Caenorhabditis elegans: one gene and its partner. The protein of the gene in region 1 purifies or fractionates together with the protein of each later gene. This does not show direct contact. Each region holds a gene or a part of one and is shown in the gene's direction. Other genes may lie near its edges. The genes, in order: nasp-2 and his-67.

What was found.
Region 2: the proteins of nasp-2 (region 1) and his-67 fractionate together in Caenorhabditis elegans (co-fractionation; one large-scale study listed by BioGRID). This does not show direct contact.

The regions. Positions count from the first base shown.
Region 1 is NC_003283.11:13,309,582-13,314,220, reverse strand, and holds nasp-2 (Tetratricopeptide SHNi-TPR domain-containing protein), read left to right. Parts: upstream 1-1,960; 5' UTR 1,961-1,975; coding exon 1,976-2,373; intron 2,374-2,422; coding exon 2,423-2,712; intron 2,713-2,767; coding exon 2,768-3,120; intron 3,121-3,166; coding exon 3,167-3,874; 3' UTR 3,875-4,035; downstream 4,036-4,639. Other genes in the region: C50B6.3 (DUF3452 domain-containing protein), read right to left, coding at 1-286, 335-497, 550-623.
Region 2 is NC_003279.8:9,987,635-9,990,474, reverse strand, and holds his-67 (Histone H4), read left to right. Parts: upstream 1-1,711; coding exon 1,712-2,023; downstream 2,024-2,840. Other genes in the region: alg-5 (Protein argonaute-2), read right to left, coding at 14-388, 433-500, 552-671; his-68 (Histone H2A), read right to left, coding at 960-1,343. UniProt on the Caenorhabditis elegans protein: Core component of nucleosome. Nucleosomes wrap and compact DNA into chromatin, limiting DNA accessibility to the cellular machineries which require DNA as a template.

The DNA.
Region 1 (4,639 bases):
TTTCCGTATCGCCTGGAGCTAACTTCAATGTAAATATCAACTGCCAGTATACAGAGCGAAAAAGATCGGGATCGAAAAAATGGATCTTCCAGATTACATCATTATGCAATAGAGCTCCAAGATGGCTGGTCAACCAAGTACTGATTCGCCCGACTTCCGAAGTATTTCCGGGTGTATTTGCAAATATTTCCGCAAGCAGGGTGAAAACATTTGAAGGTGGACATTGTTCTTTGCCTACTACCAATTTCGTGCTATTGACAATTTTTATGAAATTGGAATATTCTAGCTGAAAATAATTAGTTGAAATTAAGCTACAAAGACATTAACAACTCACAGATATTCTCAATTCATCAGCTCCATTATCAGTTACTTGATCCATCAAAATAGTTGTATATCCTGATTGAAGAAGCATTGCAGATTTTACCACTTGAAATAAGTCGTATCGATTTTCTGGCTCGTCATTTATCCAATTATCAAAATCTTTCCATACCGAGGGTCTAAAAATTTTAATTAATTTTTTAATCAAGAATATATATTTTAACAACATACTTTTTTGTGAACAAAATTTTCTTGTTGGTTCCCGACGTCCCGGACGCCGATTCGTCGACATCGCCTTCCACCATCGGGTGATTTCGTGAGGACCCGCCTAGAGAAATTCCATTAATTAAAATGATTGCGTAAAAACTCAATAAGATATGATAAAAATAATAAAACAATTTGAGCAAGATTTAGAAGTTGTATACTTTCGAAATTAAGAAAATCACAATTGTCACAAAAGATGAGTGGTTTTCGGATTTCATGTGAATCAAAAATGTATGTATGTATAAGATGGTTATAAAATAAATATTTTAACTGACAATTCTAAATTTAAAAGTAAGAATTCATTAAATAAGCAATAAAAAATCATGAGAAGCATTTTAAAAAGCATCATTGCGAAAATATTTCACGAGGAGTACACGGCCGACGGCCTAGAAATCGATTGACATTAAACAAGGCGCAACCGAAATATCGGAGCATCGTTGCTTATGGTAACAATTAAATTTTGCGAAAACTTTTTCAAACTCTGGCAAAAAAGGAACATTGTCTTGATGCCACCGAAATAATTAGGTTTCTTCTAATTGAACACCAAAAGAATGATTATAAAAAGGGGAATTTTGTAAAGCTCATAAACACCTGATGTCTCATGGCATCCAGTGATTTCTGCACCGATCCGAATATAATGTTTTTCTAATTCATGGGGAAAAAGATATTTTAGATGGCGTCCTTTTGGAGCGGATAAAAATGACCTGAAGTGGAAGCATCTTCTTCCGACTTCGGTCCTGTAACATTTTATTTCTGTAAAGATCTCCATGATTCAAAAATATTTCTTCATCGCTGTAGGAAACCGCAGTCTCTCTTCAATAGTTCTTTGTTGTCTTCATGTTTTATTGAGTGTGAAGAGTTGAGAATTATTTAGAAAAATGAATTGATTTCGACGTCATCAATAATGAAAATGGAACGATATATCTGCTTCGACAAGGATGACAGACGACCTAGGAGAATCCGAGTTCAAATATACTCAACTTTGACTTAAATCTTTTTCACGATTTTCAAACTATATTCTGTAATCGATTATTATAATCAGCGCTGTTGAGCTGGTAGCTAACAGCTGGTAGCTGGTAGGTCCACTTTATTAGATAAAACCGTAGTGAAATTAAAGGCGCTGCCACTTTCCCTGGCTCCGCGTCCCGCCACGACAGAATAGACAGAATGCACTTGGCGCGAAATTTTGCAATTTAAAAACGATAAGGCGGGAAAATTTCGCATTTGGAGGAAAATGAGAATTTAATTTCATTCGTGAACTCTTTGCTTTTCTCTCATTCATTTTGTTAATTCTATTTTAATTCGTGTTTCTCTCTATTGCTTTACTGTTTTGTTACAACAACATCTCACTTATTTTTCTCACATCTATTATTTTCAGACTACTAACTTCATAATGAGCGCTTTTGCTGATTCTACTAACATTATCGCTCATGATAAGGAAACGATCGCGAAGAATGTCGACTCAACGGGCGAAGAGAAAGTCGCAATGACTAATGTTGCTGAAGAGACTACTCCATCCACTGATTCCGCCACTACTAACGAGAAGACTGCATCGGAAAACTCTCCAACCGAAGCTGCAGCCTCCGATGTTAAGGATGTTGCTGAAGCATCTACTGGTGCTCAAGAGACAAACACTTCGAGTGAAACTCCAGCCGTGGTTGAAGACGAAAAGGCTTCAATGGAAGTGTCAATTGGTACTTCAATCGAAGATTCTGAAACTTCCCAGAAAGAGATTGAAGGCGAACTTGTAGTTCCAGAAAACCCAGTCGAGGAGATTTCACCTGAGCAAAAGTATAGTTTTACCGTCTTTTTTTTTTCAAATCAACGGTTTTTATTCCAGGAGAAAGAGCCTCTCGGAAAATATCATTGCTGGGCGCCGCTTCATGAGGACTGATGTTTTCGACAAGGCCGTAGACGTACTCAGTGTTGCTGCTTCCATTGCTGCTGAAGTTTTTGGAGATGCTCATGAGGACACCTTTGAAGCCAACTTCCTCTATGGAAAGGCCCTTCTTGAAGTTGGAAAGCTGGAGGATAGAGTGCTAGCCAACGCATTGACCGACGTTCCAAAGATGGCTGAGGGAGAGGAAGAAGTTCAAGACGGCATCGTCGAAAACCCTGAAGATGTTCCACGTAAGATTCAGTTTTGTTTTATTTTTCTTTTCTTCTTCAATGAATAAATGTTCAGAAGACGAGCGAGCTGAAATCAAGCAAAAAGTAGAAGAAGCTCTTGGAGTCGCGTCCGAGGAGCCTGAGACCGTTGCTGACGAGGCTGTCAAGACAGAACAAAAAGAAGCTGAGGAGGACAGTGTGGAAAAGGATGTTGAGAACTCCGACGAACAAAATCAGGAAGAAGAGGAGGTCGTCGAGAATGAGGCTACGGTGGATCCAACGGAAGACGTAGAGATGGAGGGTGTCGAAGAAGTTAATGACGAGAAAGAAGTTGGACAAACCGCAGAAGTTGACGGTGAAGCCGAGGAGGACGATGAAGCCGAAGACGATGAAGCCGATTCAATGAAGTTGGCTTGGGAACTTCTCGAGGTAATTAAGACATTATATCAGGCAGTGTGAACATTCAAAACTTCAGACTTCTCGTTGCATTGCTGACAAGAAGGCTGCTAGTCTTGCAGCCGAAAGCACTGTGGACGGGGAAGCCATCAAGATGTGGAAGTTGAATCTCGCCGATGTCCTCACTTCTCTCGGAGAGCATGGAATTGCTGATTCCAAGTATGAACAAGCACAAAAAGATTTAACCGAAGCTATTTCGATCCAAACGGTGCATCTTCCAGCAACTTCTCGTGTTATTGCAAACACAACTCATCTTCTGGCTAAGGCCTTCAGCTCGGACTCGTTATTCGAACAGGCTGCAGCTCACTTCAATGATACTAAGAATATCCTTATTGCCAAGTCGGAGGAGTTGAAGAAGCAGTTGGAGACTGTCTCGGACGACGCGAAGAGTGATATTCAGTCTGAAATCAAGGAGTTGGACGGGATCATTCCAGAACTTGATGCTTTCATCGTTGATGCTCGTGCCTCTGCTGAACAAACCGAAAAGTTGAAATCAGATGCCAAGAAAGAACTCGAAGGAGCTGCTGCTATGCTTGCCAAGGTTGCTGATGTAACTGAAGCTACTGACATCAGCAGTATGGTTCGTCGTCCAACTAAGCGGCCAGCTTCCGAGGAGGCTCCAGAGGAAACCAAAAAGCGCAAATCGGGAGATGGAGTCGACGTTGCTGTCGTCACCGAGGAGCAGGTCGTGGAGTCGACTGAAGAGCCAACACCAATCAACGAATAATTCGTCGTCTTTCTCTCCAATTTCTTGCCATAATATCACAACGTTTGGTCTCATTTTTCACCACTCACCAGCCAACCATTCACTTTAAATCTATGTGGATTTATAGTTCATTTCCATTGCTATTATGTATTCAAATTGTGCTATAAAATCGTGGTTTGTTTAATTTTTTTCTTGTGAACAATTTTTTCTCATAGATATTCCAAGCTATGGGAAGGCGACTTGTGATTTTATTAAATTCAGCTTCCAACTTCTACAGGGTGAAAACGTAGCATCACTGTAGACATTCAAGAAATTCATAGTTTAGAATATTATAATTTAAGTTTTATTAAGAGAGTGGGAGCATACGGCAAAAATCAAACAATGAATATTCCTCCAAAGTGCGACTTCAAGGAGTACTGTAGAATGGGTGTAGAAACTACAGTACTACTCAAAGGCGCACACATTTTTCGGCAGTAATTCTTAAGTTTGTTAGTGTTGGGACCAGGTCGTGCATAAAACCCGTGGATGAAAAAACACATAGCATTTAAAGTTTAAGGCAACCAGTCAAGTAAAAAATAAAATAAATAAATGTCGTGGGACAATGTATTAAATGGCAGTGGAAACAATAATGAAATGTGAAATTCGAAAAAAGAAGTAAAGCTGTGCTATATAATAAATTGATACGTGAGATGTGGTGAGTTTATGTTATGAATGATTATGTTGGAAACGAGATATAGCGGAGAGCATGTGAAAGCTCAAAGAAGAGAAACATATCTCTTATTATCA
Region 2 (2,840 bases), on another chromosome or scaffold:
AGTAAAAACTCACATTTTAGTATCCAAGAGGAAGCTGTCGACATGTGTTAGATAGAGTTTGAATAGATTAGGTGATTCTTTTGTATTAACAACTCCTGCAACATTGATGACTGAATTATTCACTTCCTTGACATTAATCAGCTCTGTTGAGTACACAGTGTGAATTCCATCGAAAACTAACGGGCACTCGATAAGTCCGGGATTCTGTTCTTGCAGAGTTCTCAAAATCGTTCTGTTCAGCTTTTTCGACGGAATATCTGGATCGAATCGAATATAGTATTGATGAATAATCGATCCATTGCACGTGATTTGAAAATGATTGGCGAGAAGTGATAAGAATCGTCCTGTAGTGCTGGGAAGTGGCTTTCCTATCAATTTGAATGGCTCTCTGAAATTTTTAAATGTTTTAATTGTAATTTCTCAGGCATTCACCTGTTTTCTTCAATAGGATGCAGGTAGAGATCATCGGAAACTCTGGATCCAGAAGAACTGCTGAGAAACTGAAAACAATTTTATGTAATCAGCTAAATCCGAATTTTCTTTTTAAAAACCTCATTTTCCAAACTGGGCACGTTGATCGAAGTACTTCTTGATGAAGTGGAACTCCTCACTTTTAACTTTTCGACCAAATCATCATCATAAATTGCCGACAGCAACCATTGGTCTTCCATACCTGAAATTTGTTAATTTAAAAAAACTCAAACTGGAAAACGCAAAGAGACCATCGGCAATGTAAAATGCACGGTATCAGGTAAAACGGGCAACTATTCCAAAAAAATTCCTGAAAGTGAGAAGATTTCAATGAAGTTTTAACTGGTGAATTCTCCAGATTATATTTCGAATAAGAAATGAAAAATATAGCACAAATAGTTTATTGATTTGAACAAAGAGGATTTTCAGAAAATTGTGGCTCTAAAGAGGGCCGTTGGGTTCGGTGGGTTTTTGGATTCGGAAGATATTTATTCCTTATCTCCTCCGGTCTTCTTTGGGAGAAGAACGGCTTGGATATTTGGAAGAACTCCTCCTTGTGCGATTGTCACTCCGGCCAAAAGCTTGTTGAGCTCTTCGTCGTTACGGACAGCAAGTTGAAGATGTCTTGGGGCGATACGGGTCTTCTTGTTGTCACGGGCAGCATTACCGGCCAACTCGAGAACTTCAGCAGCGAGGTATTCGAGAACAGCGGCCAGGTAGACTGGGGCTCCGGCTCCAACACGTTGAGCATAGTTTCCTTTGCGAAGAATACGGTGAAGACGGCCGACTGGGAATTGAAGTCCAGCTCTTGACGAGCGTGACTTGGCCTTTCCTCCGGTCTTGGCTTTTCCTCCCTTTCCACGCCCAGACATTATGAGCGATTGGTGATCGTAAAACTAATCTGAAGAATGAACCAAGACAGTCGCTTTATATTTATTTTTACGGTGGCGGGGCGGAGTTTCCTGCGGGGACACCTCTTTTTGAACATTCGGTAAATTCCTGCGGGGACACATTTATCTCGTTTCTGCGTCTCTCTCACCTTCCTGTATGTCTCGCCTACTAGAGGCCAAAACGGCAGATATCTCTGCAGATGCAAGAGCGGCAGGCACGGAAATGTGTCCCTGCAGGATGGCGCAAACTGACTCCGCCTTTGCACCGCTGTATCTGCATAGGGAGTATATAAGAAGAACTGTTTTCCCAGTTCATCATCATTCGTGAGTCTTCAGCCAATCACTCAACAATGTCCGGACGTGGAAAGGGAGGAAAAGGCCTTGGAAAAGGAGGTGCCAAGCGCCATCGTAAAGTCCTTCGGGACAACATCCAAGGAATCACGAAGCCAGCCATTCGCCGTCTAGCAAGAAGAGGAGGAGTCAAACGTATCTCTGGATTGATCTACGAAGAAACTCGTGGAGTTCTCAAGGTGTTCCTTGAGAACGTTATCCGAGACGCCGTCACTTACTGCGAGCACGCCAAGAGGAAGACCGTCACAGCCATGGACGTTGTCTATGCTCTGAAGAGACAAGGAAGAACCCTGTACGGATTCGGAGGATAATTTCAATTGTCCTCCCGCTTCCATGCAACAACCACCGAACCCAACGGCCCTCTTTAGGGCCACAAATGATAAATCCAAACAGTCCGATTGCAATAAATGTTTATTTTCAATGCTTCAATTTTTTATCTTTTCACTCTTCTAAACGAATTTTACAGATGTTTCTCCAAACTCGATTTTCCACAAAAACGAAAAATCACGATAAAACACAAAGTCTAGACGCACAGTATAGAATTCAATTTGAATTTTCAAAAGAGTTCATTTCAAATCAGATATTACTTTTTAAAGTTATGAAAACTAAATAAATCTCCCAATAAAAAATGCGGTAATTTATATGCGTGAAATTTAGTTTTTTTTGATTGAACTCGAAGCTTCTGGCACCTAGAAAAATTACCGCGCTCTAATAATTATGAACACTCCAGGAGACCGTGTTTGATTGTCTTTTTTTGTGAAAATATTCCGTTTCCCATTGCCACCAGTTTCCCATCGTTTATTGCATACGTCCCATCACTTTTTTCTTATTTTCTGACACAATTTTTTCTTGAATTTTTAGGGTGTTTTTTTTTAATTCTTTGTAAAATTTCCATATAATTATCTTATCCCTAGGAAATAACTAGCATAATAACTCCATGCCCGACAAAAAAATATGTGATAAGGAGATAGTTCTAGGATTCAAGTAAAAAAGTTGAAGAAACGTTTTCAGAAATTAGTGCCAATTTAAAGGTGGTTCCTTCATCCTTCACATCAGCTTTTTCAACTTTTGTGGGGGCTTTGAACTGCTTTTTCGGGATTTGTCCTGTCCGAAGAGGTCATTGGGTCT